Linked DNA regions of Callithrix jacchus. The protein of the gene in region 5 purifies or fractionates together with the protein of the main gene of each other region. This does not show direct contact. Links are inferred from orthologs where the notes say so. Each region holds a gene or a part of one and is shown on either strand. Other genes may lie near its edges. The genes, in order: EXOSC2, MAGOH, ILF2, SMG7, UPF1, MOV10 and STAU1.

Evidence for each region.
Region 1: the proteins of UPF1 (region 5) and EXOSC2 purify together in Homo sapiens (affinity purification with western blotting; 3 studies listed by BioGRID and IntAct, with this or other methods). This does not show direct contact. The link is inferred for Callithrix jacchus from reciprocal best matches to the Homo sapiens genes UPF1 and EXOSC2.
Region 2: the proteins of UPF1 (region 5) and MAGOH purify together in Homo sapiens (affinity purification with western blotting; 3 studies listed by BioGRID and IntAct, with this or other methods). This does not show direct contact. The link is inferred for Callithrix jacchus from reciprocal best matches to the Homo sapiens genes UPF1 and MAGOH.
Region 3: the proteins of UPF1 (region 5) and ILF2 purify together in Homo sapiens (affinity purification with mass spectrometry; 3 studies listed by BioGRID and IntAct, counting the BioPlex papers as one, with this or other methods). This does not show direct contact. The link is inferred for Callithrix jacchus from reciprocal best matches to the Homo sapiens genes UPF1 and ILF2.
Region 4: the proteins of UPF1 (region 5) and SMG7 purify together in Homo sapiens (affinity purification with western blotting; 7 studies listed by BioGRID and IntAct, with this or other methods). This does not show direct contact. The link is inferred for Callithrix jacchus from reciprocal best matches to the Homo sapiens genes UPF1 and SMG7.
Region 6: the proteins of UPF1 (region 5) and MOV10 purify together in Homo sapiens (affinity purification with mass spectrometry; 3 studies listed by BioGRID and IntAct, with this or other methods). This does not show direct contact. The link is inferred for Callithrix jacchus from reciprocal best matches to the Homo sapiens genes UPF1 and MOV10.
Region 7: the proteins of UPF1 (region 5) and STAU1 purify together in Homo sapiens (affinity purification with mass spectrometry; 7 studies listed by BioGRID and IntAct, with this or other methods). This does not show direct contact. The link is inferred for Callithrix jacchus from reciprocal best matches to the Homo sapiens genes UPF1 and STAU1.

What each region holds. Positions count from the first base shown.
Region 1 is NC_133502.1:179,354,077-179,358,896, forward strand, and holds the start of EXOSC2 (exosome complex component RRP4), read left to right. Parts: upstream 1-1,532; 5' UTR 1,533-1,541; coding exon 1,542-1,663; exon of another isoform or gene 1,664-2,003; intron 2,004-3,264; coding exon 3,265-3,366; intron 3,367-4,820. UniProt on the Homo sapiens protein: Non-catalytic component of the RNA exosome complex which has 3'->5' exoribonuclease activity and participates in a multitude of cellular RNA processing and degradation events.
Region 2 is NC_133508.1:90,372,759-90,376,110, reverse strand, and holds the end of MAGOH (protein mago nashi homolog), read left to right. Parts: intron 1-1,237; coding exon 1,238-1,320; intron 1,321-2,474; coding exon 2,475-2,574; 3' UTR 2,575-2,731; downstream 2,732-3,352. UniProt on the Homo sapiens protein: Required for pre-mRNA splicing as component of the spliceosome. Plays a redundant role with MAGOHB as core component of the exon junction complex (EJC) and in the nonsense-mediated decay (NMD) pathway.
Region 3 is NC_133519.1:14,091,455-14,096,338, reverse strand, and holds the start of ILF2 (interleukin enhancer-binding factor 2), read left to right. Parts: upstream 1-1,925; 5' UTR 1,926-1,975; coding exon 1,976-1,980; exon of another isoform or gene 1,981-2,110; intron 2,111-2,678; coding exon 2,679-2,738; intron 2,739-3,024; coding exon 3,025-3,067; intron 3,068-4,533; coding exon 4,534-4,638; intron 4,639-4,884. UniProt on the Homo sapiens protein: Chromatin-interacting protein that forms a stable heterodimer with interleukin enhancer-binding factor 3/ILF3 and plays a role in several biological processes including transcription, innate immunity or cell growth.
Region 4 is NC_133519.1:41,704,241-41,708,364, reverse strand, and holds part of SMG7 (nonsense-mediated mRNA decay factor SMG7), read right to left. Parts: intron 3,281-4,124; coding exon 3,109-3,280; intron 1,930-3,108; coding exon 1,858-1,929; intron 1,009-1,857; coding exon 858-1,008; intron 496-857; coding exon 360-495; intron 1-359. UniProt on the Homo sapiens protein: Plays a role in nonsense-mediated mRNA decay. Recruits UPF1 to cytoplasmic mRNA decay bodies.
Region 5 is NC_133523.1:17,531,401-17,536,090, forward strand, and holds the start of UPF1 (regulator of nonsense transcripts 1), read left to right. Parts: upstream 1-1,436; 5' UTR 1,437-1,489; coding exon of another isoform or gene 1,490-1,500; coding exon 1,501-1,731; intron 1,732-4,690. Other genes in the region: uncharacterized protein LOC144580760, read right to left, coding at 1,045-1,436, 1,490-1,502. UniProt on the Homo sapiens protein: RNA-dependent helicase required for nonsense-mediated decay (NMD) of aberrant mRNAs containing premature stop codons and modulates the expression level of normal mRNAs.
Region 6 is NC_133508.1:150,649,879-150,654,002, reverse strand, and holds part of MOV10 (helicase MOV-10), read right to left. Parts: intron 2,642-4,124; exon of another isoform or gene 2,513-2,641; intron 1,639-2,512; exon of another isoform or gene 1,383-1,638; intron 1,287-1,382; exon of another isoform or gene 680-1,286; coding exon 476-679; intron 216-475; coding exon 1-215.
Region 7 is NC_133506.1:44,231,034-44,235,157, forward strand, and holds part of STAU1 (double-stranded RNA-binding protein Staufen homolog 1), read right to left. Parts: intron 2,772-4,124; coding exon 2,606-2,771; intron 1-2,605. UniProt on the Homo sapiens protein: Binds double-stranded RNA (regardless of the sequence) and tubulin.

The DNA.
Region 1 (4,820 bases), on a different chromosome or scaffold from region 5:
GTGGTTGTGAGCCTTAAGTGAAAGAAATGTTGACCCTTTGGAGATTGATAAAACAATTGGCTCAATGGATCTTTCTTCAGGAGGTGGACTTGGTTTACCTGCTTTACTGACCACAGCTGATGCAAATTATTTCATTTAACCCTCTTTAGAGTCCCCGTGCATGGGGAATTATCTTCCCCAATTAGTTTCTTGTGAATGCTGCAAACCATGCAGGGCAAGAAGAGCGAGAGGATAGTGGGGGAGGGGGAGAAGGGGCGAGGGGTACGTTCCTATCAAAACGGAGCCGCAGCTGGGCGCGGTGGCTCACACCTGTAATCCCAGCACTTTGGGAGGCTGATGCGGAAGGATCACGAGGTCAGGGGTTTGAGACCAGCCTGACACACATCGTGAAACCCAGTCTCTACTTAAAAAATACAAAAATTAGCCCAGCGGTGTGGCATGCACCTGTAATCCCAGCTGCTTGGGAGGCTGAGGAAGGAGAATTGCTTGAACCTGGGAGGCAGAGGTTGCGGTGAGCCAAGAGCGCGCCTCTACACTCCAGCATGGGTGACAGAGCAAGATTCCGTCTCAAAATAAAATAAATAAAACGGAGCAGCAGAAAAATCCACAGAGACATCCGTCTATTCCCCGCTGAATCCTTAGAACAGCGCCTGGCACACAGAGAGCGCTCAATTTGCTGTATGACTAAATGCAAGCCAAGATCTTTGTATTATGTGCGCACTTGCCTTCCCTACCAGATATACTGGCTTGCAAGTATACTGTTTTCTTAGACGATTTTTTACTTTTTTTCCAGAAGAAATATTGGCATAAATTAGCTCGCTCAAAGGAGTCTTTATGAAAAGACAGAACCAAGTGAGAAGCATCTGGAGCCCGGTTTGGGGGCTATAGATGATGCTGCTGAGCCAGCATCCACGGGGCGGCAGGGACGTAGAATACTGGGACTACTAGGAATGGTGTGGAAAGGGGCTCTTCTTTCTGTTCAAATAGTGTTTCTGTAGATCCCATCTCTTCATCTTCCTGAGCTCTCTCTTACAAAATATCGGATTTCAGCAGCTTAGAATTGGACAGAAACTCAGAATTCCGTTTTTCAATTATTTCTAACCCTGGTAAACAATAAATGGGATGATAAGTACAAGAGAGTTTTGGTGGCCGGGCGCGGTGGCTCACTCCTGTAATCCAAGCACTTTGGAGGCCAAGGTGGGCGGATCACCTGAGGTCGGGAATTCAAGACCAGCCTGACCAACATGGTGAAAGCCTATCTTTAAAAAAAACAAGAGTTTTGGTAAAAAGTCAAACGACGTGAGATTTTATTATTCCAAGGGTGCTCCCTTACCAATAGTAAACATGGCAGCTCGGTTCCCTTCCCTTCGTGTTCGCCTTATGGTTGCCAATTGTAAACATGGCCTCCAGGTCGTGAGTTCTCATTGGTCGCTGCACCGAGTCCCCGCCCTTCCCCGCCCCTCAGGACGCGGCCGGGAGTTGCGGAGCCGGATATTGCGGCTCCTGGCTGAGCTGCGTCTGCGCAACTCTTTGGCGCCAAGATGGCGATGGAGATGAGGCTTCCAGTGGCTCGCAAGCCTCTTAGCGAGAGACTGGGCCGCGACACTAAGAAACATCTAGTGGTTCCGGGGGACACAATCACTACGGACACGGGATTCATGCGGTACGTGGAGACTTGGGGGAGTCTAGGCTTCAGAGAGCGCTTCAGGGCTCTCTGCACGTGGCCCACGCCTCGTATCCCTGAGTGTCCATAACTCACCGCAGGACCCACGGGACATCGCCTGAGCATCCTACTCGCCTCGCTTCCGAGCCTCGTGCTTCTTACCCCCGGCATCTTGTGTGTCCCCGTCTGCATTCGTTTCAGCTCCTGACCTCCGGTGGCTGTGACTTTTGGGTTTTCTGCCCGAAGTCCAAATCTTTGAGGCTTCCTTGTAGGAGACCTGGAAAACTGGAGAGGGTTAGGAGCAGGCTGTCTTTCCAGTTTTCAGCTGTCTGAGGGGACGGTGAGCGTTCTTGACTTGGTCTCCTTCTCTTCAGTTTAGAATCCTTAATTGTTCGAGCTTAGGGCAAACCGTTACATTGCGCTGCCTGCACCCATTTACACACAGTTTGAAGCTAAGGGGTGCAGTACAGTGCGTTGTAGTTAAGAGGGCAGGCTCTTGAGTCAGATAATTGGGGTTACTTCCAGTCCTGCTACCATCGCATTTATTAGCGGCATTGCCTCTGCCCTGGCCAGTTTCCTCTTCTGTAAGATAATAATAACAACAGTATGATACGGTAATGAGGAGTAAATGAGATCATTACGTAAGAAAAGAAGTATAACCAGCCATTACATCATCATCATAGTTAACACTAGTGGTATTTCAAACTTTTATTTTTTTGTACCTGTATATATACAAGGGGCACAACATTCATAGCATTGCCCTTTAACCTGTTAGTTTAAGGTTAGTGGATCCTAGAAGATCTCCCCCCCACCCCCGCTTTTTGAGAGGAAGTCTGGCCTTGTCTCCCAAGCTGGAATGTAGTGGTGCTGTCTGGGCTCACTGCAACCTCTGCCTCCCGGGTTGAAGCGGTTCTCCTGCCTGAGCCTCCTAAGTAGCTGGGATTACAGGTACCTGCCACCACGCCCGACTGATTTTTGTATTTTTAGTAGTGATGGGGTTTCACCGTGTTAGCCAGGCTGGTCTCGAACTCCTGACTGCAAGTGATCCACCCGCCTTGGCCTCCCAAAGTGCTGGGATTACAGGTGTGGGCCATCATGCCCAGCCCCTAGGAAATCTTTGGATTCATTCTTTGATTAATGCTTTCAACATATGTTTACATTTTGTGCAGTTGGGATATAACAGCAGAGTGAAAAATCTCTGTCCTGGTGGAGTGCTAACAGGCAGAGATAGACAATAAGTGCAACGAATAAGTTATTCAGAACATTAGGCAGTCAATGCAATGGGGGAAAAGTGGAGCAGGGTAAATGGAATGTGGTGGGAAGATGGTGGGAGGGTGGCAACCTGGTTGGGGGGGGGGCTGTTTTCAGTGGCCTAGTCCAAGTGGGCCTGCTGGAGAGAGTGCCATCTGAGCAGACCTGAGTGAGAGGAGTGACCTCCAAGTAGATGTCTGAACAAGGAGCACGAAGGCAGAGGGAGCAGCCAGCCCAAAAGCCAGCCTTCACAGGGGCAGCCTGTTAGCTTTGAGGAACACCTTGTTCTTGAAGAGAGAGCACCGCAAGTTACCCTGGGATCCTTTCTTTGTGTCTTTGCCTTGCGTCAGGGGCCATGGAACGTACATGGGAGAGGAGAAACTCATTGCGTCTGTTGCCGGCTCTGTGGAGAGAGTAAACAAGTTGATCTGTGTGAAAGCTTTGAAAACCAGGTGAGAACAAAAGGTGTGTATTCCCTTTCTTGTGGCATCCAGGTTGTATGACCAGGCTCTTTCTGCCTCCCCTTATCCCCCACCCTACCTCTGCCTGCCGCATCCTGCTGTAAGTCTTCGGTTTTGACCATGACTATAGGTGGGTGGTGCAGAGCAGCGCAGGCTTCAGAGGTATCCCCATGTTATGTCATCTCTCCAAGCCTTGGTTACGTCCTCTGAAAGTGACTATATAGTATGGCCTACTTCATAGGATTTTTTCTTTTTTTTTGAGAGGGAATCTCGCTGTGTCATCTAGGCTGGAGCTCAGTGGCACCATCTGCTCACCGCAACCTCCACTTCCCAAGTTTAAGCAATTCTGCTGCCTCAGCCTCCCAAGTAGCTGAGATTACAGGTGCTCGCCACCACGCCTGGCTAATTTTTTTATGTTTTTAGTAGAGACAGGGTTTCACTATCTTAGCCAGGCTGGTCTCAAACTGCTGACCTCAGGTGATTCACCCCACCTTGGCCTCCCAAAGTGCTGGGATTACAGGCATGAGCCACTGCTCCTGGCTTAGGATTTTTTAGAATTCAGTGAGATGGTGCATGTATTTAGCACAGGGCCTGATACTTAGAAGCATTTAATAAAGGTTAGCCCCAGAAAGCAAGACAGTAGGGTTGGAACAGAGTGAGTGAAGCGGAAAGTAGGGGCAGATGCAGGCTGAGAGCTGAGGTGGGTGGACATGCGCCTGCCTTCTTTGCCACTGTAAGCATTTTGGCTTTTATTTTGCATGATCTGGGAAGCCACTCGTAGGGGTGGAGCAGAGGAGAGACTTGATCTGGACTTCAGCTCACTCTGGCTACTGATGGGAGATTGAAGGGGGATAGGGCAAGCTTAGGGAGATGGATTGGGGACCATACTCGTGATCTGAAGCGGTGGTGGCTTGGACTAAATTGGTAGCAGTGGAAGGTGGAGGAGCGATTTTATTTTCTGAGTGTTTTTTTAAATCATGAAAAGGTGTTGGGTTTTTGTATTCTTTGGGCTTCACTGTACATAGGACCTAGTCATCTGTGAATGGAAATAATTTTTTATTTCTTCCTTTCCAATCTGGATGCCTTTTATTTCCTGCATATATATTTTTTTCTTTTTCTTTCTCATATGTTTTGTTTTTTCTTTCTTTCTTTTCTTTTCTTTTTTTTTTGAGATGGAGTTTTACTCTTGTTTCCCAGGATGGAGCACAATGGCACCATCTAGGCTCACTGCAACCTCCGTCTTTCGGGTTCAGGTAATTCTCCTGCCTCAGCCTCCAGAATAGCTGGGATTACTGGCATGCACCACCAAGCCTGGCTAATTTTGTATTTTTAGTAGAAACGGGGTTTCACCATGTTGGTCAGGCTGATCTTGTACTCCTGACCTCAGGTGATCTGCCCGGCTTGGCCTCCCAAAGTGCTGGGATTAACACGTGTGAGCCACTGCG
Region 2 (3,352 bases), on a different chromosome or scaffold from region 5:
TATATATGAATCTAAAAGAAGAAAAAGTAAGTAGGGCTCACAAGACTGTAAGTTCCACAGGGCAGAGATCTTTGGTTTGGTTGGTTTTACTTATCTGTCCTAAGCTCTGAGAACAACACCTAGCACCCAGTAGGCTCTACATAGTATTTTTTGAAGGTTTACAGTACTCATGTCACTGTTTAGAAATTAAGACCCAAAGTCATACAGATATGGAGTGACGAAGTGGGGATCAAACCTAAGGTCTGGAATACTTCCTTTTCCCATGTTGCCTTGATAGGTTAGATCCTCTGGTACTTGTTTTTGTTTGTTGTTGTTGGAGACAGGGTCACACTCTGTTGCCCAGGCTGGGGTACAGTGATGAGATCACGGCTGACTGCTGCCTTGACCTCCTGGGCTGAAGGATCCTTCCACCTCAGCCTCTCTAGTAGCAGGGACCATGGGTGCATGCCACCACACCCAGCTAATTTCTATATTTTTTGTAAAGATGAGGTTTTGCCAAGTTGCCCATACTGGTCTTAAACTCCTGGGCGCAAGTGATTCTTCTGCATTGGCCTCCTAAACTGCTGGGATTACAGGTGTGAGCCACCACACCCAGTCCAATTGTTTGGTATTTTTAAAACATAGATGTATCCATTTTACTCCACATTGTTGACAATGAAAACTTAGACAAAATACTACATAGGCTGGGCATAGTGTCTCATGCCTGTAATCCCAGCAGTTGGGAGGCTGAGGCAGGCAGATCACCTGAGGTCAGGAGTTCAAGACCGGCCTGGCCAATATGGCGAAACCCTGTCTCTATTAAAAATACAAAAAATTTTTAATAGAGACAGGGTGGTGGTGGGCACCTGTAGTCCCAGCCACTTGGGAGGCTGAGGCAGGAGAATCACTTGAACCCTGGAAGCAGAGGTTGCAGTGACCCAAGATCATACCACTGCACTTCAGCCTGGGCGAGAGAATGAGACTCCGCCTCGGGGGGGGAAGAAAAAAAAAAGCTTCATAGATTTTTTTTTCAAATTCCAGAAATAGTAGAGCCTTGAGGGTACAATTTCTTCTAAATATGAGCTTTATTTATGTCTTGTTTCTAGTCCCCAGCACAGTTCAGTGTTCAGAGTGAACCGCCCTTGTTTTTATGGCCATCTGTAGTCAAGTTTGTGTGATTTGGCAAATGATTAATCCTTCTGTGTGCTTGATGAATAATCCAATTTTACTTGACTTAGATTTTCTAAAATGCTTCCAGGAGCTTGAAATCGTTATTGGAGATGAACACATTTCTTTTACAACATCAAAAATTGGTTCCCTTATTGATGTCAATCAATCCAAGTAAGTGCATTATCCTTATCTCCAATTGTGTCTGTTTTGGAGCAGATTGATAAGAAACTCTTAACCAAATTGGGATCACTATGGGAAGATCTGGTACAGGTGGGCAGCTTTGTCCTCCTTGTTAGGGAGGGATCTCAAATTATTTTTGAAGACTTGCTCCTATTACTTTTGGTATTTCATTTAGTCATTGCTATTGAGAGCTTCTTGTTGACGCATACATACAAATTAATGCACAGGAGCAGCCAGGACAAAAATGGAATATGCTAGAAAAGTGCTCATGATAAACCAGAGTCACCAAGTCTGAATAGCCTTCACAGTGTGACTGTTCAGACTGGCACATCTTAAAATCTGACTTTGATGAAACTTGACAATTTTTAGGATCTAAATTTTATTTGATTTTAAATTTATTAATTTTTACAAATAATTTTGGTGAAAATGGATCAAATTTTAAAATTTGTGTTGTCAGTGGGGCAGATTATTAAGTTGAGGCATGAACCTATGTGCTACGAAGAATCTTTAGAATTTGGCAACTTCTTTGGCTCTTATGTTTTGGGGATTCAGGATTAGATATGGCTCACTTTTAGCAAATGTTGGGCATAATTGTCTTCCTTTGCACACTCTCCTTGTTCTTCCCTTTGGATACTCTTTGTTCTTAGCTAGTGATGCCACAGTAATCTTCAACCTCTTGGTCCTGCTTAGTATTACTACTTTTTAAAAAAGTTTTCCTAACTCTGGAAGTAATACATGCTCATTGTAGAAAACACAGGAAATGTAGAAAAGTAGAAGGGTGAAAACCATCCATTATCTTATCAGACAACCTTTATTAATATCTTGCAGTATTTCTTTTTAGTCTTTTTTTCTGTGCATTAATAGAATATATACTTTTTAAGAAGCATAAAAAATATAGTCGAGATCAATGTTAATTTTTTTCACTTAATGTAAGCATTTTCCTATTTTAAAAACTCAGTATATTTAAATTATTTCATAATATGCCATTTTAATATATAGTCTTTTCCTTTTTTGGTCAAAGTTTTAATGCCCTAAATATCTTTACAAGGAACATTTTGATAGAGGAATAATTGAGATTATTAAATGGTATCTTTTGCCCATTTTACCTCAGTGTTTTAAACTTTTTTTTTCCTTTTGCATTTTAGGGATCCAGAAGGCTTACGAGTATTTTATTATCTTGTCCAGGACCTGAAGTGTTTGGTCTTCAGTCTTATTGGATTACACTTCAAGATCAAACCAATCTAGATTGAATATTGGTGTGGACATGGGCGGGTGGGAGTAGTTTTTAATTAGCGTTTTCAAGAAAATTTTTTGTATATCAGGGTGGTATTTTTTTTTATAAACTATAAATGACTGTCTTTAATAAATGTGATAAAATCCAATTTTTATTACTTTATAAAGACCTGAACATGTGAAGTCTTCTTAATTACTTTGTAAAACACTAACGTCCTATGTGAGGTAGTGCCCAAACATAAAGTCTAATCAACTCTCTAGATATAACTATCATTTTAAAGGAAATAAGAGAATATAGAAACATGTTTTAAAAATACAGTAGGATTTCAGTCAGCCATATTGAGAGGAAATTCCAAGACAAATGACCTAGTTTCTTCAGTAAATTACAAGGGAAACAGAAATGGAGTGGGAACTTAAAAAGGAGACTTAAGAGACACATAACACAATATTTGGACCCTATTTGGATAATGATTCAAAAAAAATGTAAAATTAGGCCAGATGTGGTGGCTCACACCTGTAATCCCAGCACCTTGGGAGGCCAAGGTGGGTGGATCACCTGAAGTCAGGAGTTTGAGACTTGCCTGGCTAACATGGTGAAACCACATCTCTACTAAAAATACAAAAATTAGCTAGGCGTGGTGGCGTGCGCCTGTAGTCCCAGCTACTCAGAGAGGTGAGGCAGGAGAATCATTTGAACCTGAGAGGCAGAAGCTGCAGTGAGCCCAGATTGCACCACTGCACTCCAGCCTGGGCGACAGTGAGACTCCATCTCAGAAAGAAAAAAAAGTAA
Region 3 (4,884 bases), on a different chromosome or scaffold from region 5:
CACCACACCCAGCTAATTTTTGTATTTCTTTAGTAGAGACGAGATTTCACCATGTTGACCAGTCTGGTCTGGAACTCCTGACCTCAGGTGATCCACCCGCCTCAGCTTCCCAAAGTTCTGGGATTACAGGTGTGAGCCGCTGTGCCCAGCCCATTTTATGTTTTAAATTAATAATTTTTATTTTATTTATTTTATTTTTTGGAGACAGAGTTAAGCTCTTGTCACCCAGGCTGGAGTGCAGTGGCACATGATCTTGGCTCACTGCAACCTCAGCCTCATGGGTTCAAGTGATTCTCCTGCCTCAGCAACCAGAGTAGCTGGTATTACAGGCACCCGCCACCACGCCCAGCTAATTTTTTGTATATATATTTTTAATTTTAAAGAAAAATAATTTTAAAAAAAGATGGGGTTTCACCATGTTGGTCAGGCTGGTCTTGAACTCCCGACCTCATGTGATCCGCCCGCCTTGGCCTCCAAAGTGCTTGGCTTACAGGGGTGAGCCACTATGCCCAGCCAATTTTTTGTATTTTTTAGTAGATATGGGGTCTCGCTCTGTAACCCACGCTGGAGTGCTGTGGCACGATCTTGGCACATTGTAACCTCCGCCTCCCGGGTTCAAGCGATTTTCCTGCCTCAGCCTCCTAAGTAGCTAGGATTACAGGCGCGCGCCACGACAAAGACTAATTTTTTTGTATTTTTAGTAGAGACAGGGTTTCACCATGTTAGCCAGGATGACCTTGATCACCTAACCTCGTGATCCGCCCGCCTTGGGCTCCCAAAGTGCTGGGATTACATGGGTGAACCAACGTGCCCGGTCCATCATCCAGATTTGTGGGGTGAGGGAAGAGAACTGGAGGGAAACTGCAACGGGGACGAGTTGGATTCTCCTCTCTTTGCCCCTTACTTTGCCCCCCTTTTCTTTACTTTTTTTTTTTGAGACGGAGTTTCGCTCTTGTTGCCCAGACTGGAGTGCAATGGCACGATCTCGGCTGACTGCAACCTCCCCTCCTGGGTTCAAGCGATTCTCCTGCCTCAACCTCCCTAGTAGCTGGGATTACAGGCACTCATCATGCCTAGCTATTTTTTGTTGTTGTTGTTGTATTTTTAGTAGAGATGGGGTTTTATCATGTTGGCCAGGCTGGTCTCGAACTCCTGACCTCGGGTGATCAACCCGCCTCGGCCTCCCAAAGTGCTGGGATTACAGGCGTGAGCCATCGCGCCCAGCGTCTAGGCCCCCCATTCCTTTTTCTGCGCCCTCTCCCCAAGGGCTGTCTCAATTTCCCCCGTATTCTCTCACTAATCATGTTTTCTGCACTAATTCAATCAATACTCTCCTCTCCTATCTGAAACCTGTTTCTTCTGTCTCGAGTTTGTAGACATGTAATGTTCATTGTTGCCCAAACTCCCTTTTCCCCAACAACTTCAACTCCGAGTGGGAAAACCGGCTGACATCGGTTGTATTTTTGAGGTAGGAAAATTTAAGAAGATATTTTGATGTTTTCATTCACCGAAGAAACCTAAATTATGTGTGCCGTATAGGACACGAAAATGAAAAAAGAAAAAAATCCGATAGCAGAGGATGGTTTCGATCCATCGACCTCTGGGTTATGGGCCCAGCACGCTTCCGCTGCGCCACTCTGCTATCTACAAGCCACTCTTTTTCAGGACTGTTATAGAAGACTCTCTATGTAGCTGTTGTCCCTATTTCTTTAGTGCCACCTAATGTCTGACCAAAAATCCGCCATTACTATAGAACCAGTTCTTATTGGCTAGTTCCTGACACAGTAGGCTTTTTTTATTGGTTCATAAGCCCGGGTTGACAGAGTAAGCCAATAGGCATAAACGATTGGGTTAGGCGGGAGCCAATCGCGCTGGGTTTTATTGGGACACGCCGGCAAGACGCCTCTTCAGTTTTCCGCTCCTCGGAGCAAAGGGGCGGTTGGTGCGGCCTCCATTGTTCGTGTTTTAAGCCGCCATGAGGTAAGGGGGTCGAAGTGATCGAAAGGTTGCAGGTATTCGACGGAAAACTTTGGGAACGTGGGCCGAAAGAAGTCGGAGGACCTAAAAGCGCCGTGTGTCCGGGAGCTGGCCAAAAACCGGAGAACTCCCGGTCTGGGAGAGTAGGGGAGTGGGAGGCCGGCAGAGGCGGGGAAACTTGGGCCCGGGATGGGGTTGGGGCCCAGGAGTGGGGAGGCGGGTTCGGCACCTTTGTCTCTGAAGGGTTGCGATGAGGGGGTGTCCTCAAGTCCCCGGAGGAGCTTCCCCCGACCCCCCATCTGGGGTGAGAAGGCTGCAGCGAGCCGCTTTCATCCTCAGTGCAAAGGGCTTGACACAGAGGACATGCCCCATAAATGCGTACGTTAATGAAGAAATGTGCAACTTCTGGCCTCCGAAGTATTAGGATTCGTGTGGCCCAGGATTATGGGTTATTTCGTGTAGGGGCTGAGTGTCTGAGCCCCGTGATCACTTGATGCAGGGTTGTGATTAACTCATCCAGAATGAGGAGGTTATGGGGATGTATAACTGGGCACCATTTGGAATGGGGAAAAGTGCAAGTGGGCATGGGGTCTCTTGCCTGCCGTTCGGAGGTTCCGAGGGATGAAAGTAGTAGCCACCTTAAAATGATATGGCCGGTGAGTATTCCTTCAATGAGGTCAAAATAAAATCTGCGTTTCTAGGGGTGACAGAGGCCGTGGTCGTGGTGGGCGCTTTGGTTCCAGAGGAGGCCCAGGAGGAGGGTGAGTGCCGGTTTTTAGCATCTCTGGACTTGGTTGTTAGTTTCTGCTTGTCATCTAAATAGGAGTTTTGGGGAAGACTAAAGTCACTTGGTTTTGTGAGAGCCAACTGTGGTCTTTACCTGCACCCCTGCTAAATGAATTTGGCCCCACTATGCTAAGAATGATTCCCCCTCCCCAGAGACTTTGTCACTCATTCTGAGGACTGACACGTTTTCAAAATTGCTGGTGTTATACATCTCACTTGATTCCTACATAGGGAATAATTTAGCTGTTTTTCATGTTTTAGGTTCAGGCCCTTTGTACCACATATCCCATTTGACTTCTATTTGGTGAGTACCTTGGGTTAATCATACACATTTACTGGCCACTAGAAATGGAGCTCCGGATCTCCCAGTTGATGAAGCTAAATGGTGGTTGAAGAGGCTGGGTGCAGTGCCTCACATCTGTAATCCCAGCACTTTGGGAGGCCGAGGCAGGTGGATCAGGAGTTTGAGATCAGCCTGGCGAAACTCCTTCTCTACTAAAATTACAAAAGTTAGCTGAACATGTGCCTGTAATCCAGCTACTTAGGAGGCTGAGGCAGGCGAATTGCTTGAACCTGGGAGGTGGAGGTTGCAACGAGCTGAGATGGCAGGACTGGGAAAAAAAAAAAAAGTGAAGTAGGGAGGGAAAGGGATTTATGAAAAGACTTGGGGTTTTGAGTCAACAGCTCAACAGTGTGTTGCTTTACATACAGAAACAGTGTAAGCAGGGTGGGGAGATTAATTCCTTGGCTACTATTGGCATTAAATATGATTATCTTTTTTCTGAACAAGTAATTATATCTATGGCTTATCTGTTATAGTGATAGCTTAAATTATGGCTATTCCAGCTTGTATCCTTGGTTGAACTTTTTTTTTTTTTAAAGACATCATCTCACTCCATCACCCAGGCTGGTGCAATCTTGGCTCACTGCAACCTCTGCTTCCTGGGTTCAAGAGATCCTCCTGCCTCGGCCTCCCAAGTAGCTGGGATTACTTGGGAGGCCTGCCACCATGCCCAGCTAATTTTTGTATTTCTTTTTTTTTTTTTTTGAGATGGAGTTTCGCTGTTGTTACCTGGGCTGGAGTGCAATGGCACCATCTCGGCTCACCGCAACCTCCGTCTCCTGGGTTCAAGCAATTCTCCTGCCTCAGCCTCCCGAGTAGCTGGGACTACAGGCGTGCACCATCATGCCCAGCTAATTTTTGTATTTTTAGTAGAGACGGGGTTTCACCTTGTTGACCAGGATGGTCTCAATCTCTTGACCTGGTGATTCACCCGCCTTGGCCTCCCAAAGTGCTGGGATTATAGGCGTGAGCCACTGCGCCCAGCCCCAATTTTTGTATTTCTATTTAATAGAGACTATGGTGTCCAGGCTGGTCTTGAACTCATGACCTCAAGTGATCTGCCCACCTCAGCCTCCTAAAGTACTGGGATTTACAGGCGTGAGCCACCCAGCCCAGCCTTTGAACAATTTTTTGTTTCTTTTTTGAGGTAGGGTTTCACTCTGTCGCCTAGGCTGGAGGGCAGTGGTGCGATCTTGGCTAACTGCAACCTCTGCTTCCTGTGTTCAAGTGATTCTCCCACCTTAGCCTCCCAAGTGGCTGGGATTACAAGTGTGAGCCACCATGCCCAGCTAATTGAACAAATTAAGGAGTGAAAACAAGTATAGAATTTTCTATTCTTAACTTATTCTGTTGTAGTAACAGAGAAAACAATCTTTCCTGTGTATTATTTTTGGTAAATAGAATGTAGTTGTTTATTTCTGATTTAGTGTGAAATGGCCTTCCCCCGGGTCAAGCCAGCACCTGATGAAACTTCCTTCAGCGAGGCCTTGCTCAAGAGGAATCAGGACCTGGCTCCCAATTCTGCTGAACAGGTATGTTCTTTTGGCTGTGTTCCAGAAATGTCTCTAAAACAGTTAAAAGTATTGGTAAAGAGTAACTGTTGGTAAGGGTAAGAATGGTGTTAAGGTAGCCTGAAAGCCACAGAAGGTTTAATTTTCTCTTTATTTCTCATTGTGGGTAGAGATAGCCAGGTGGATATGTACACAGATTATATACACTTATTTTTTTATTTTTTTTTTTTGAGACGGAGTTTCACTCTTGTTACCCAGGCTGGAGTG
Region 4 (4,124 bases), on a different chromosome or scaffold from region 5:
AATAACGAACCTGGTTTGCAGAATGCAAATATCTATAAAGTAGGTAACATAATCATATATAAGAATGCACAAACCATCAAAAATAGTAGTTTCAAAACTGAGGAGTTATTTTTTCCATTTTGATAATTTTTGTCAAATGGCAGCTACTCAAGTGAAAACACTGATATACTTGTCTATACAGACCACACCTCAGTTTAAATTGAAGAGAGGATATATGCAAGGATTTCACATGCTTCAAATTTAATTTTTACCAATAGTTCACACAGTTAAGTAAATATAAAAACTGGGAGTCAGTTTCCTCCAAATTTTACGCTTCCTGATTTAGACAAGACAAAAATTCTCTGTATCTGAAATCTAACCTTAAACTGTTCTTCCAATTTCTCTCGAAGAGGGCTCAACTTTTCCAAGCTCTTACTCAGGTACACATGACCGTGGAATTTAATAAAGGCCTTGATGAAGTCAGAAACACCCCACTTGGTTTTCACCTCATCTCGGCTGAAATGAAAGAAAAAAATTCCATGAATCTTAAGCAGCAAAATGGCTACAACTGCTTAAGGAGGCACTGGCTTGCTAAAACAAATGAATACTTGATACACAAAAGAGAATTCTGTATTTGACTAATTTTTCAACTGCAACACACTCAAGATGAGTCAGTATTAACAGCCTGTGTACTCTTTTACTGGGACTGAATCAGATATTGACTGGTTGAAATTCAGTGACTATATAAAAATTATGACAAATCTACATCTTTAGAAATAAGAGAAGCATAGGTCATTATTTTCTGTAAAACAAAGTATAAGAGTTCAAGGCTCCAGGTTACAAAGTCCTCTAGAAAACAACAACAAAATCAACCCCACCTTTCCAGTGCTTTAGAAAGTGCTTTTTGCAGATTAGTGGAGGCAGCTGGGAAAGGGAACTTCACAGCAATGCTTCTGCAGTAGTAGAAAATTGTGGTCAGATGGTCTCCTTTGGAAGAAGCTAAGATAGCCAACTGATTGTAAGGCTGACCTACAGAAGAAAGTTAAGATTCTGGAGTAACCCCAAGAATGACAAAGTCTTGCTATCAGAATATGAATGATCAGTGTTTAAATACTCAAAAAAAAGGGAGTATTTGATAAGGTAAATATGCCTACCTCATTACAAACTGGCATAAAGTACAACGGCACACTTCAGCAATGGTACACAATATCATACACAGCTTAAAAAGTCATAATTAGGGTGGAGAGTGGCTTCACAAAGGGCTAAATAGTAAATAATTTCAGCTGTGTAGGCTAAAGGGTCTCTATCACAACCACTCAACTTTGCCACTGTAGTGTGAAAGCAGCCACAGACACTATGAAACAAGTCGTGTGGTCAGACTGCCATTCCTGCTTTAGACTCTTTCTAGAATCTAAAAGAATTTCAGTGTCTTAATTCTTATTAAGAATGGTTAAAATCATCAAATATCTGCTGTAACTTCTTTAACTCAAGAACTACTGCTAATGCCTAGTTTAGGGCCATTACAAGATTACCTTTTAGGTAATAGATTATTTTTCTGCGGGAAAAATGGTGGTATCTAAAGAAATAATTATTCTATAAGCAATTAAGGAAGCCAGAGTTGTAGAAACAATATCAAGTTATATTAAGAGACTCTATCTGTATTGCTTTACTGACAATAAGTCATTTTACTTGTAAAACAAAAATTCAGTTTACATGGAATGTACAGTTAAATAGAAAAACACGACAATAACAAAACAAAAACAAAAATACATGAAAACATGTATTGCTTTCATAAAACTTCAAAGGTGAGCCTTATCTGCCACGTTGTTATAAAGAACGAAGTGTCAGGGTCAATCTCAGGTTGATAGGCCCACTCACCATTGGAGGGGACAAGCTGAGCTGCATGCCTATAGTAGGACTCTGCCTGGCTGGTCTGGTTTCTGTATCGAGCTAAGAGGAGGAAGAAAGTTAGTTTTTAAAAAACCCAAAAAACAAATAGTAGGGTAGTATTTCCAAAACAGCTATAGTTTTAAGTTCTAAATATAATAAAGACATTAAAGTTAATTTAAAATTAAATGCAGAAAATACTTTAAAACAAATTAACTATAGGATTATGTGTGAAGTGTCCATCAGCCTTCCTTATTTGGGACATTCAGCATGTAACCAATTTTAAAGCTTACCTAGACCCCATTTTCAGGTCCTCCAGTGTCATGCATCACCAGCTCCCACTATGGACTATGCTGGTGACCTGGAGCCGGCCCACAAGAAGGGGTGAGTTATATGGCACTTAAAAACAAAACAAAACAAAATACACTATACAATATGATCTGAAAATGTATTTCTTCAATATCTTATAAATTGATTTTGAAAAATGCCTCATTCCTATCACATTAAATATGTGTGTGCAAAGAATACATTTAAATCAAAACAACCTAAACACACTATCAATGAATCTCCCTGCCAAATTCACTGCTTACTCTGATGTAATCTCCTCATGGAACCGATGATTTGTAATATTCAGAAATCTAAAATGTTCAAACTTAAAAGCAATAATGTTCTCCATTCTTTGTTATTTGAGGACAAGCAAAACATAATCCTATAGTTAATTTGTTTTACAACCTTTCTAGGTCACCTTAAAGGAATGAACGAGAATAAATGTTATGTAATATTCCCAGGTAAAATACATTTAATAGAAATACAAATTAAACTTTTAAAAAGAAAGCAAAATTAAAAATGAACTTTTAGTGCACTGGTAAGAAAGAAAGAGGGCAATTCTGCTTCAGAAGGAATAATTTACAAACCCCACCAGAGTACAGACATTTAATTTAGAAAATATTATGGCACCACTTTGAAAAATTTAGCTTTGATTACATTTTTGCTGTTTATTATTTGCCTATACTACATAAAGTCTTAATAAAATTTAAATCTTAATATGAATTCTTCAAGATGCTCTGCCAATCCCAAAAATATTGAGAAATTTTAAGTTCCTTAGAACACATTTTATAGTTTCTTCTTATGACAATCTAAATTGTGTGTGTATGCTCAGCTTAAAGGAAAAGAGTTTCTTTCTATGACTACTCCAAAGAAAAGGATGAATGTATTATCAATTCCTTCACAGCAAAGGCTCACCAATGTCTCCAAGGTGGACGAGGCAGTGCTGGCAGATATAGGAACAGGAGCTAGACTGTGGCTTCACTATGGCGCTGGTATGCGTCTGTTTATTGCTGATAATTCCCAATTGGGAAGACTTCACACGGCATGGTAAATCTACATTAAATACTGTACACAGTTCTTGTAATAACTAAAAGAAAAACAAAATTTAGTAGTAAGTCACAAGTGCTCTGAAAGTAAAATTTATAAACTGTAAGATGTGTACCTGGTATCACATGGTGCTGAAATCTGAACAAAAACTGCATGAAAATTATATGGTAATCATTCATAGGATAACCAGTATCATTCATTATAAATCATACCTTTTGAATTCTCAAGTATTACAGCAATCTAGGATGTGCATTGAAAAAAACCAGCAGCATTTTTAAAAAAAGATTATTTAACTGGATAGGATTTTCAGACATATTCAGCAAGCAAAGAAAACTACCACCCTCAGAAACACACAAAAATTATTAGATATTGGTTACAAATTTAACTTAAATGCAAGCCAAGGTATTTGTCAGACTTTAGGCACTTCTTGCAATTTATTTTCTTAAGCTATATGCCAATTCACATGTCTTTGCATATACAACAAATCTCATGGTAGTGTAGATCTTTACTGTATTAACCCACTCCTACCTCCTCTTTTCTCTGTTCTTCAAGTATGAAGGTTCTTCTTCCTAGTCAGAGTTAACTATTCTGACTGTGTGTGCCTATTGCTACATTCTTTTATGGCTCCTGTCTGTCTCCCACCTCTCCATTTTTCATCTTTGTTCAACCTCTCACATGCTTCTTTCCTATGGCCCACACACCAAATGTCTCCCACAGAAAAAAACAAGAAGAAAAAACAAAACAGAGCTAAAACACTCCCCTTGACCCTAGATGCCTTTATAGCAACCTTCTAAGGCCTCTTCCTCTTCTTGACCAAATGCCATTAAAGGAGTGCACACTTTTTATATCTGCTTTCTCAACTCCTATTCACTCCTTAATCCATT
Region 5 (4,690 bases):
CATTGCACTCCAGCCTGGGTAACAAGAGCGAAACTCCGTCTCAAAAAATAAATAAATAAATAATAATATATATGTATATATATTCACACACACACACAGGATCTCTGTCACCCAGGCCGGAGTGCAGTGGCACAATCATAGCTCGCCTCAAACTACTGGGCTCAAGTGATCATCTTGCCTCTACCTTCTAAAGCGCTGGGATTTCGGGAAATAGCCATCTTGCCCAGCCTTACTAGCCCACCTTACTGGCAGCAGAAACTCTAGGCTCAGAGAGGTTAAGTCACTTGTATAATTTCATACAGCTAATAAGTTGTCAGGTCTAAATTCCACCACAGACCATATGCTTCCAATTGTTTTGCTGTATACGTCCGCTAAATAATCATAGCAAAAATTGTAATTGGTTAGTAACAGCGGCAGAGAAATCAGGAACAGCAGCAACCATCATTTCCACGTGCCAGGCCCAGAACGTAAGACTATCCCCATTCATTTATTTTTATTTATTTTTGAGACAGGGTTTCGCTCTGCTGCCAGGCTGGAGTGCAGTGGTGCGATCGCGGCTCACTGCAGGCTCAATCTCCCAGGCTCAAGCAATCCTCCTACCTCAGCCTCCCTAGTAGCTGGGACTACAGGAGCGAACCACCAAGCTTGGCTAATTTTTGTATTTTTTTGTAGAGATGGAGTCTCACTCTGTCAACCAGGCTGGTCCCGAACTCCTGGGCTCAAGCAGTTCTCCCGCCTCAACCTCCGAGTGTTGGGATTATAGATGTGACCACCGTGCCGAGCCCCATTCTCTTATTAAACCATTGCACAGGGAGCATCTACTGTGTGCGAGATATTCCCCTATTTTACCGATGCGGAAACTGCGTTCTAAGCAGCTTTTGCCCGGGGTGGGAGGGCACTGTCCTTGCCCAGCCTCTCCAGTTGGGCGTTCCGAGACAACCTACGTAAGGTATTCGGCTAGCGCTCAATTAAACCGAAACACTGTCGCACCGCCCACAGATGCAGACCGCCCAGTCCACACCGCCCGCCGCCGGGCGTCCCTGATTAGCAGTTGGGGCAGGGCCAAAGTCCTGGAGCTGCCGACGCGCAGGCGGTTGAAAGCCCCGCCCTCTGCGCGTGCGCGTGCGCGTACCGTCTTGCCGCTTGGCTCCCGGCGCCCGAACGCAGGTTGGCTGCGTCCGCGAAGAGCGCGCGCGCTTCCGCCGGCGTCGGGCTCGCGCACGCGCACGGCGACGGCGGCGGTGGCGGCCGTTCGTGCTCAGGGCTGCGAGCAGCGGACGGCTTCGAGGGAAGCGGCGGCGCGGAGGGGCTCAGCGGTGGCAGCGGCGTCTCGGCGCTCGTAGCTCTCGGCCCGGCTGGTGCCGGGGCGGGCGTTTCTGTCCGTTCCGGACGCGCGGGGGCTACAGCGGCGGCGACCCGAAGCCTGCGGCCTAGGCCTCAGCGCGGCGGCGGGCTCGAGTGCGGTGCGGAGCCGGTCAGAGGGCCCTACCCGGCGGCACCATGAGCGTGGAGGCGTACGGGCCCAGCTCGCAGACCCTCACTTTCCTGGACACGGAGGAGGCCGAGCTGCTCGGCGCCGACACTCAGGGCTCCGAGTTCGAGTTCACCGACTTCACTCTTCCTAGCCAGACGCAGACGCCCCCCGGCGGCCCTGGCGGCCCGGGCGGTGGCGGCGCTGGAGGCCCGGGCGGCGCGGGCGCGGGCGCTGCGGCGGGACAGCTCGACGCGCAGGTGAGCGGCACATGGCGGCGCCGGAAGCCCGGGCCCGGCTTCGGCTCCTGGGACTTGCCCTGACCCCGCCTCGGGCCAGGCCGGGCCGGGGCTTACCTGGAGTTCTACACCGCGGCCTGGCCTGGGCCGACCTGCCCCGGGTCCCCTATTCCGTCTGGGCCTGAGCTTACCTGCCCCAGGTTCTGCTCTCTTCCGGGGCCTGGCCCAACTTGCCCCGGGCCCCCGCTCCAGCCGGTACGGGGCTGAGTTCCTTCGGACCCCAACTCCCGGGCCGGGCCGACTTGCCTCGAGTCCTCCCCTCCGTCCGGGTCCGAGCTAACCTGCCCCTGTTCCTTTTACTTCGGCTGGGTTTGTTCCTCCGCCTGGGCTAGAGCTGACCTGCCTTGTGTTCCACAACCAGTGTGGCCTGGAGTAACCTGCCCCGCTTCCCCCCCTCACTCCCCTGGCCAGCTGACTTATCCAGGTTCTTCCACTCCAGCCGGGCTAGGGCTGCCCTGCCCTGGACCCTCTTCCGCAGGTCTCTGTAGTCTACCCCTAGTTCCCTTACGGCCTGGGCCGGGTGTTCCTCACGCCGGATCTTGAGTGATTTCTTTCAGTCCCCTTCCGGGAGTATCCAGGGTGACCTGCCCTAAGCCTGTTTCTGGCTCGGTCTGGGGGGATCTGTCCCGTCTCCCCAGTGGCGAGTCCGGCCTCCCTGTCCCACCTCCCATCTGCGGTGGCAGCCGTCTGGGCACGCCCCCGCCCCGCTTTCACGGTCAAGGAGCCGAGGTTCGAATTTCCCCAGGCGTAGGGGCGCTGGCCAGTGGAGGGTTGAGGCTCCTGGAGCCGAGAAGAATTTTTGCCTCCCGCAGAGGAGCACACATTGGCTGGGTATTAAGATCATTCGGGAGGCAGGTTGTGTTTTGTTTTTTTTCCTTGAATCGCCTGTTGCTGAAACCAACCTGTTACATAACTCCACAACTCTTGCCTTGAAAAAGTTGAGTTTGAGTTTTGTTCCTCCAATAAGACAGCAATAGTGGATTTTATATAAACGAGTCTGCCACTTTGGAAACTTTTTAATGATGTGGATGTTTAGAGAAGGTTATTTGGGTATTTTAAATGGAGGCTTGATTTGGGAAAAGTGTCAGGCATGCATTTCCTGGTTCTGGGTGCTGCCCACCTGGGGTGGGAGAGGGCTTTGGAGTGAGGGTGTTGGCCGGGGTCTGGTGAATGTCCTCATCGTGCTCTGGATCTCAGGTTGCTTTCACCCTAGGCTTGCTTTGTGCCTGACACCTCACTCAGGTTTATTTTCCTGAATGCTCTGCCAGGGAGTAGCTACAAGGCTCACCTTGGCAGAAGTGTCCCTTGGTATATGCTTGTGTTTCAGAGCTGGGGAAACCACCCCTTGCTCAAGCAGAGTGAGCTCAGACCCTGTCCTTGGTTGAGGGGGGCTTACGTGGTAGTCGGTTGAGTCACTCCCGTGGGTAGACCACCCACTTGGGCTTTCTTTTAGCCCCTAATGGAAGCAAAAAAAACATTTGACTCATTCTAACCCTGTATCTCTTAAAATAGAAGGCCTGCATAGAGGTGCAGCGTGAGGAGAACAGGTGTGCACATATGGGTGTTTTTTGTTTTGTTTACATTTGGTGAAGGGAGGGAGGGAAAGAGGAGAGTTCCCCTGAAGAAGGGAGCCTGAGCTGTGGAGGCCCCACCACCTTGTAGTTTTCATGCCCTGTAGACCTTTCTGCTTCGCAGCTGTGCAATGGGGGTGGCGGTTAGATTTTTGTTCTTACTGAAGGAAACCTAGATCCATGTGTTAGTCAACTGTATAGGCTGTCTGTAACCTGACATCCAGCCTGTTGGGGAGACTCGGTAAAGATCTCTGGAGCAGGGAGCAGTGAGCCATGAGCTGTGACAGCATGGGTGCGGGGTTGGCTGGGTGTGAAAGGTAATCATTTTCTTGTGAATCCTTCTAACTGTAGCCAGCATGAAACAGCAAACTTGGGGCAGCCTTTAGTTCTGCTTTTGTTTCTGGCATTCTGTTTGGGATTGTGGGGCATGTCCTTCTCTTTCAGTTGAAACAACTGATTTTTTTTCCCTGCACCTGAGTACACTGGGCTGTGCAAAATGAGAGCATTAAAATGCTTCCCTGGAGGTAACCATTGCAGTTGAGCTCGCAGCAGTTCCTGTGACATCAGAGGGTTTGGCCTGCACTGTTTTTAATTGATCCAGATGCCCCACCCACCTGTTGCCTGTAATTTTGGATGTGTTTGTGGGGAATGGCAGTGGCACCCCTTTGTATCACAAGGGGAAGACTGGAATTTGTGGGCAGGGAAGTCTGTGAATATCATTCAAGGGAAAGCAGAAGAAAGTTCTCTCTTGTGCGAATTGATGGCAGTGTTTGCAAGACATTTGGGGAGACTTTCCCTCTTTGTCCTCAGGAGTTGGCGGTGTAACTAGCTGTGAGTTGGGGGCTCCTGGAAGGACTCAGCCCCTCATTCTGCTTTTCGATTTTTATTTTACTGGGTCAGTGGCTGTCAGCTGTCAAGTGCCCTGCAGTCACTTTTGCTTAACAGCTTTATTGAAATAGAATTCACGTACCACACCATACAGTTTACTCATTTAAAGTGGACAATTCGGCAGCTTTTAGTTAGTGTATTCAGTGTTGTGCAGCCATTACCATAATAAACTTTAGACCATTTTTGTCACTGCAAAAATAAACCCTTTAGCTCCTCCGACCCCCGTCCCCAGCCCCTGGCAACCACTCATCTGCTTTCTGTCTCGGATGTGCCTTTTCTGGACATTTCACATGAACAGAATTATATGTGGGTCTTGTGTCTGGCTCCTTTCACTCTGCCTGATGTGTGAGAATCAGCTACGAGGTGAGCGTCGTAGCTACTCCCTGGCTGAGCATTCAGGACAATGAACCTGATGGAAGTTCATCCATGCTGTGGCATGTGTTAGTGTTCCATTCCTTTTT
Region 6 (4,124 bases), on a different chromosome or scaffold from region 5:
GCTCCTGGTCTTCATTGTAGAAAGCAAACTGGGGTGTCCGGCAGAGTGGGAAGAGGTGAGTGAGGGTGACAGACTGGGTTCCGCCATTCCGAAGCCTCAGGGTCAGCACCTCTTTGCGGTTCAAATCCAGGCGGATGAGGAGCTGCCCGTCTCGGGCTTCATGGGGCCCCTGGACTTCCACATCCACCCCGTGTTTCCCGTGAAGATACTCAGACCTGGGGAGAAGGGGAGTCAAGGCGGAGCTGGGGTGGGCGCGGTCTGGACTGGGGAGTTACCCTGGGGAAAGTTTTAGGCTTGGGAGGCAGGCAAAGTGCCAGCTGTGTTCAGCAAGCTCGCCTCCTCCCCGAAGGCCAATTCCCCGCCCTTCCCCCACTCCCTGGAGGAGGGGGACTTCCTCCCACTTGTGCGACCCACTCTGTCCTCAGACAGCCCCTTCCCTCACACCCTGCAGGCCTCCGTGCCCCAGCACACACACCTGTCATAGAAGATCTTGGCTAGCAGTGACTTGTGGTGTTTGCTGATATCTGACCCCAGCTTCATTCTCCTCTTTTCTGGCAACCGCACGTCGGCCCAGCGGTCGAGTCTGAAGAACCTGACCCGAGTCTTGGTGACGTAGGCCAGATTTGCAATCTTCATTCCATACAGCATGGAGGAGAAGCCAGGGGCGGGGGTCCCAAAGCTGCCAGAAGCAGAGGAGACTGGAAAGTGAGGCAAGGCAGGGCCTGCAGGAGGCAGGGCGGCGGGTGGGGAAGGGCGTCGGAGGGTCACTCTGTGCTGGACACACCAGCCCTGCTGTGGAGCAGGATGGGGCCCAGAGACAGAGAGACACAGGCTCGGGATCGGAGGAATGTTTCATGTTTTAAGGGAAGGCAATGCGACCTCCCAAGGCAAAATACAGTTGTTTTAAACAGTGGGTTCTGGATTGTTCATTTCTGAGGGGAAAAGCCCAATCACAGGCTGCTGACTGGAAGGACCGAGGGAAAAGAGAGAAAGACATAAAGTTCTTTTTGTGGGGGAAACTGTTTGGGACAGAAAAGAAAATACAAACAACTCAGAAGAAAGAGCTGAGGCTAAGGGGAAGCGGAATGAGTTGATTCAGAGGGGTGCATGTGGGTTCCAGCCCGTTGGTGAGGAGAGAAGGGATCAGAGACAGTACAGATGTCCACGTGTGTGGGCAAGGTGGCTGATCAGACAGCAGTTTCCACCCGAAGTCATAGGGTGCAGGTGGAACCCAAGCAGGAAGGGAAAGGATCCTTCTCCAGAGATCAAATAGCCTGGCTTTGTGCCTAGAGAAGGTGAAGACAGGGAAAACTGGTCAGAAGGACAATAACCTCAAGGCTCAGCGCCTGGAGTTCAGTTCAGTCAATTCAACAAACACTTACAGAGGCCTGTTATGTGCCAGACACTGTGCTGGATGCCGGGGGTTCAAAGATGCAAGAGACTCAGCGCTTGCCTCGAGGAGCACACAGACTGAACACATACATTCCAGCATGGTGCCCAGAGGGCAGCTCATCGGCCACAGAGGGGCTCAGTGCCACGGAGGGACACCGAGCCCAGTCTGGGGGCAGAGGAGGTGTCCACGAAGGCTTCCCCAGGAGGCAGCATAAGAACTCGGTCCTGAGGATGAGTGGGCATTACCTGGGCACAAGAGAGTGCAAAGCGTGAGCAGATGTGAGGAGTATGCAAGAACGTGTGCTGGTACGGGCGGAGGGGTTGCCCCCTTGACAACTCTAGCCAGGTCAGCTCAGGTGACCGCATCTCTCAGAGCCTCACTTTCCTCCCCTATAAAACTGGAGGAAAGCGAGACTTACCTCGTAGGGTTGTTATGAGGTTCCAATGAGATTCTGACACAGCAGAGAACCACTGAGCCAGTGCTTGGCACATAGGAGACCTCAGTAAGGGTGAGCCATGATTAGTATCACATACAGTTTCATTGTGCTAGAGTGAAATGCACAAGGAGGGGAGTGGCAGGAGGAGCAGAGGTGGGCAGGGACCAGCTCATGGACAGTTTTGCATACCAGGCCAAGCCTGGACTTGACCCTTGAATGCCTGCAGTCCTTTTCCCCGCTCTACTGATACCCAGGAGCCTGAGGACATTCCCATGTGCAACATACTTCAGGGACACATTCAAAATCTAGACTCTGACTCAGATTAAGAGGCCCTCTCTTAAAAGCAAATCTTTGTTTATGAGAACTATGGTAATCCCTATTTAACTTTTAAGGCTAAATCGGCATGGACACTCACTAGGGTATATGGTAAGATCATTTATGGTTATGAAGATTTTTCAGGTGCCCCTGCCTGTAACTCTGCCCCTCTCCTTCACCCCAAACAAATGAGACCGGTACAATTTGGAAAACGTTGAATTGGCTATGATTTGTTTTAAGAAGGTAATAAATCATTGGAAAGCATAATAGAAAATGCTCGGTAAATGTTAGCTACTATTATTAGTATTTAGATTAGTAGAAATAGTAGTACTAATAGTAGCAGTAGTATAGGAGCAGTAACAACTTACTTTCAGCCCACGTCAGAGGCTACAGCGTGGTTACAGAACCACTGCGGTTGGTGGGTTTTAAGCAGGGGAGTGGCAAGATCAGATTTGCATTTCAGATCACTCTGGCATCAGGATTGGAGGATGGATTTGCTGGAGGCAAGATTGTAGGCAGGGAGACCAGTTAGAAGAAGGCCCTTGCAATTTTCTAGTGAAAAGATAACAAAGGCAGGAGGCAAGGCAGTGGTGGAGATAGAAGGAGAGCAGCAAGATTTGCTAATACTTAGGATGTAAAATTAGCCGAATTTGGTGACTGACAGAAGTGGGAATGAAGGCTGGGAAGAGGGAGGAGTCTAGGATCCCCAAATCAGTGGCCTGGCTTGTAGGACTATCTCTGAGATGGATGTAAGACAAGAGGAGGAGAGGCTGGAGGGACTGACCATGACATTTGGATTTGGATATGCTAGGTTTGAGATTCCTGTGGTCCAGGCAACCAGCTCCACAAGTCAGAAGCTGAGAACTCAGACCAAAGTCAAGGTTACAGCCTAGTATTAGGGAGTCCTCAGGTAGTGGTTATAATCAAGGAAGTGTAGGAATCTCCCCAGGAGTGTGAGTAGTTGAGAGCAGCTACTAGACAACCCAGGGAGGAAGGGAAAACAAGAAACCCTCAAGAGAGAAAGGAGAATGAGCCAAGTCTCAAAACCAGGTGTCAGGATCAAACACTGCTGAGGGGTCCAGTAACAAAGGGACTGAACTAGGAGATTATCAGAAACTTTCGCAAGGGCCCCTTAGAGTCGATCGAAGTCCCACGGATCGAAGCACAAGCTAATGCTGACAGCAGCTAGGCTCCACAGGTGTCTTGACACTTGCAGCCCTCCCAGACACCAGTTCAGTCCCATTTTGGAGAGTCACTAGTGTAAGAACACTGCATGCATATCCCTCGCAACTCTAAGAAAACAAGAGTGCAGCCTCCAAGAAAAGTGGCTCCAGGCTCCCAGATCAATGCCGGGCAGAAAGAGGGCTTTGTGGAAACTGAAGAAACTGGGAAGGGCATCCCCTGTCTGAGGGCGTAACTGCTCATCTCCAAACGGGGCCAGCAGGGACTGCAGGCCTAAGATGGCGAGATCTGACTTTCTTTCTTTCTTTTATTTTTTTAAGAGACGAGTTCTCGCTATGTTGCCCAGGCTGGAGTGCAGTGGCTATTCACAGGTGCGATCCCACTGCTGATCAGCACGGGAGTTTTGACCTGCTCCGGTTCACCCCTCCTTAGGCAACCTAGTGGTCCCCCGCTCCCAGCAGGTCACCATATTGATGCCGAACTTAGTGTGGACACCCGACTGGCATAGTGCACCACAGCCCAGAACTCCTGGACTCAAGCGATCCTCCAGCCTCAGCCTCCGCCTCCCGAGTAGCTGGGACTACAGGCACATGCCACTGCACCTGGCCAGATTTGACTTTCAAGACAAGACAAAATCAAAATTTTAATATGAAACCTCCTATTTTTGGAAACCTGCCTAGCACGAGGGCAGGCAGAACTCATATCTACAAATTTTCCAAATTCTGTGGATGCTATCCCCAAATTATTTCTCAAATTATTCTCAATGTCTGTTACCACTATTCCAATTCACATAACATT
Region 7 (4,124 bases), on a different chromosome or scaffold from region 5:
TGACTCTTCATTTCACTGGCCAAGGCCAGCCTTTAAGCCATTTCTGAAAGGCATGGTCTCTACTTCAAATTCTATATAGCTAGAAAAGGGGGCACGGAGGAGAAATATCAAGGGGCACAAGCAGATTTAACCACCACTCCCAGCAAAGCTCCTCTGAGATTTCACAGGAGCGAGTGAAAACTCAGCTCAGGAGAACATGTCTACAACAGCTGCTGCCCACAGGACTGTGTCAACCAACGCTGTTCTAGTGAGTGAGAGCACAAGACTCAGAAACTCTAAAAGGCGCTCATCCTTTGTAGCAATACTGTGATCACTCTCATGGAGGACTCACTCCTGGGGAAGTGCTGACAGCATTCAGATCTGTGGTTCTCCAACCTTTACCATACCTCAGAATCACTCCAAGAGCTTATTAACAACAACATGGCTGAGTGGCTCAAGCCCATAATCCCAGAACTTTGGAGGGCCAAAGGGGTCAGATCACCTGAGCTCAGGAGCTTGAGAAAAGCCTGGGCAACATGCTGAAAACTAAGTCTCTACTAAAAATACAAAAATAAGCCGGGCATCGTGGTGAGCACCTGTAGTCTCAACTACTCAGGAGGCTGAGGCACAAGAATCACTTGAACCCAGGAGATGAAGTTGCAGTGAGCCAAGATCATTCCACTACACTCTAGCCTGGACAACAGAGGGAGACTGTCTCAAAAAAAAAAAAAAAAAGCCAGATTTCTGGGTCTTACCTTAGATCTACTACATTAGAATCCTGGGGTTGGGCCCAGAAATTTTTTTTTTTTTTTAACTTATCAAGTGATTGTGATGCAGAAAATCCCTGTATCAGTACCCAGCAATTGTTTATCAACTGTTGGCTGGAAGGAACTAGAAATACCTATACAATCGGACTCCAATTAAATTAGCACCAGTCAAGTAAAAAAACTGAAAAGCCTCCAAAATAACTCACATTATACTACTACCTTTTTGATGTTTTAACAAATCTCACCACTGAAAAGCTCATCCTTTTAACTTCACTAAATCCTCCTCTTTTAGCTACAGCCTCATTTTCTTTTATCTGGTCCTCAGTGGGCCCTGGAAACAGATCATCTGTTAGAAGAGGTGATTACAGTGGAAAATGGAAACGCAGCGTAACAAAAGAAAAACAAATTGCTTCTGTGCGGCCAGCCATGAAGTCTGAGCTGGGTCGCCCTGGGTGGCAACAGATACAATAGACCTCACCAGGCACCCTGCCCAAGGTCCACTGGGGTCTACACCTCTCATCACATAATTAGCCCACTGTTCTCTGCAAGTTCTTCTTGTTCTTTGTGAACATATTTCCTGGGGAAGAAAAGTCAAACACTACCCAGAGATATTTTCAGGTGGCATTTCCTGCTGTAATTAAACAGAATTATGAAATCTCAATGTTTTCAATTCACTGGGCTTCTTCTGGACTTTGTTATTTTATCTGTCATAAGATTCTACCTGGCCAAAGATATTCACTAATGCTCTAACCCCTCAATGGCATGGAGTTACTGATTCCCTAAGAATTATATTGCTGTTTAGTCACAAAAACTTTTTTTTCCTATCATGGTGGTTTTAAAATATGTCCCCTAATTCTTTGACAATCCTTTTATTTAGAAGTGGGATTCTCCATATTGTGAATGTACTAAAATCCACTGAATTGTACACTTAAAGTGGTAAATTTAGGCTATATAATTTTTATCTCAATTTTTTAAAAAGTGACGTTTCTCTATCTCCTTCCTTTGAATCTGGGCTCCGTGCCCACTTGACCAGTAGAGTATGGTCGACTCGATGCTGTGATTTCTGGGCCTAAGCCTTAAGAAACTGGCAGCTGCTTCCATTTCCTATCTTCTAGGATGCTTACCCTTGGCAACCAGACACCATACCATGAGGAAATGTAGGCAATTTTTCCATAGGTCACCCAGGGATGAAATGAGGTCCTGGGGCCAGAGCCCCAGCTGAGCTCCTAGCTGACAGCAAGCATCAACTTACCAGCCACATGAGTGAGCCATCTTAAAAGCAGATCATTCATCCCCCTGCAGAGCTACCTCAACCAAAGCTGTGTGGAACAACCCTTGCCAAGCCCTGCCTCAACTGCAGACTCATGAGCAAAAAATAAATGCCTGGAGATGTTTAAACCATCATTAAATGTTGTAATGGTCCGTTATGCGGCAACAGATAACAGGTGCTTCAATATCATCAAGACTGGCTGGTCAAGAACAGCTTCAGAAAATTCTCTAATCTAGTATCACAAATCACAGTAGATTCTGTCAAGTGTAATCTTCAGCACTGAAGACTTCATCCATACATGTTCTTCACAACTCAATTGAATTGCAAACTTTCTAACATGTTCACACCATATCATGTCACTCAAAACCATGCCATCAAGTAAAAAAGAAGGTAACTGATTTTCTTAATTTTAAAAGAAAAAAGGGGTAAAAAGGAAGAAAGCTACAGAGCACAAAAGCTTGGAGGCATTCAAAGAAAAATTATGGAAAGCTGTTAATGTGCCTTCTTAGAAAAGATAATGTGCAGTGACATCTCCCCATGACCCTTCTACCCTGTCAAAGTGTCAGAGAACCTGGGCTCTGCTCCTCACCTCCAGCCTCTCTGGCGGGGGCTCATTCTGCAGGATCCTCAATGCTTTGGCAGCAGCATCATGTTTCGCAGCCTGTCTTGTCTTTCCTTTCCCATTAAATTGCTGTCCTCCCACAGAAAGCTCCACTTGATAAAGTAAAGGTGGAACTGGAAATGGGTAAAAGTACCTAGAAATAAAAGGGGGTTAGGCAAATTATAGTCTCAAGTTGGTAAGTCACCCATACATCCTCTAGCAAATGCAAATCTTTCCTTCATCACGATCCTACTCACATTAGTGTTTGATGCTAACCACTCTTCATCAATATATCCAGATTTCATAAAAGCTTAAACTGAATTAGAATTTCTACACAGTATAAGCAAAGAGTGTTTAGCAATCCCAACTTATGTTTCATGAAATACAATGGCTTATAAATTATGAATTCAATGTATCATGCTAACCTGTACTGATAAAATCTAAAATAAATTAGGCTTTGGCTGAGACAGAAATGTAGCTTGCTCTGCCTTCTCAAACCTTAGCTTTACACTTGCATGTCTCCAATAGGAGGCTGGGAATTTTAATGTACAGGTCTTTTAGGAAGGATCCTCATTTCGAGAAATCCCAACAAGCTGTAGCCTACCTAGCAGAATCCAGTTTCTTATCTATTTCATAGCTTATATTTTTAAAATGACTTAACCCCCAAACAGAGAGCAGGGAAATGAAGAATTCCATTTTGCTCATCATCTATCCACTAATGTCTTATTATCATGAGCAAAAGATTTTCAATGCATGGCATTTTCAGGTTTCAATTAATATTTTATTGCACCAGAGCTACTTACAAAGCTCACAAGTTCAAAAACCAAAAAGTACCCAATAATAAGGTATCTATAAATGCTGGGAATCATTGTATTACAGGAATCATTATGCTATGGGAATCATGTCCAAATATAATTCATTTACACAAAGGAGTTACAAGGGTGATCTTTAACCAGACTGTTTGAGGGCACAAGCCACACTGCCAGTGAGGAACATGCTCAGGCCCTTTCCAAAGGCAGTAGTTAAACACACACACAGGGCCAGATGTAATGGCTCACGCCTGTAATCCTAGCACTTTAGGAGGCTGAGGCAGGAGAACCTCTTGAACTCTGTTCCCGACCAGTCTGGGCAACATAGGGAGACCCTGTCTCAATTGATTTAAAAAAAAAAAAAAAAAAAAAGGAGGGGCAACCAGGCACAGTGGCTCATGCCTGTAATCACATTACTCTGGGAGGCCAAGAGAGGTGGATCATCTGAGGTCAGGAGTTCAAGATCACCCTGGCCAACCTGGCAACACCCCATCTCTACTAAAAAATAAAAAAAATTACCCGAGCATGGTGGTGGGCACCTATAATCCCAGCTACTCAGGAGGCTAAGGCAGGGAGAATCACTTGAACCTGGGAGGTGGAGGTTGCAGTGAGATTGCGCCACTGTACAATCTCAATTGGAGCCTGGGCGACAGAGCAAAACCTCCTCAGGAAAAAAAAAAGGGGGCACAAAGACACAG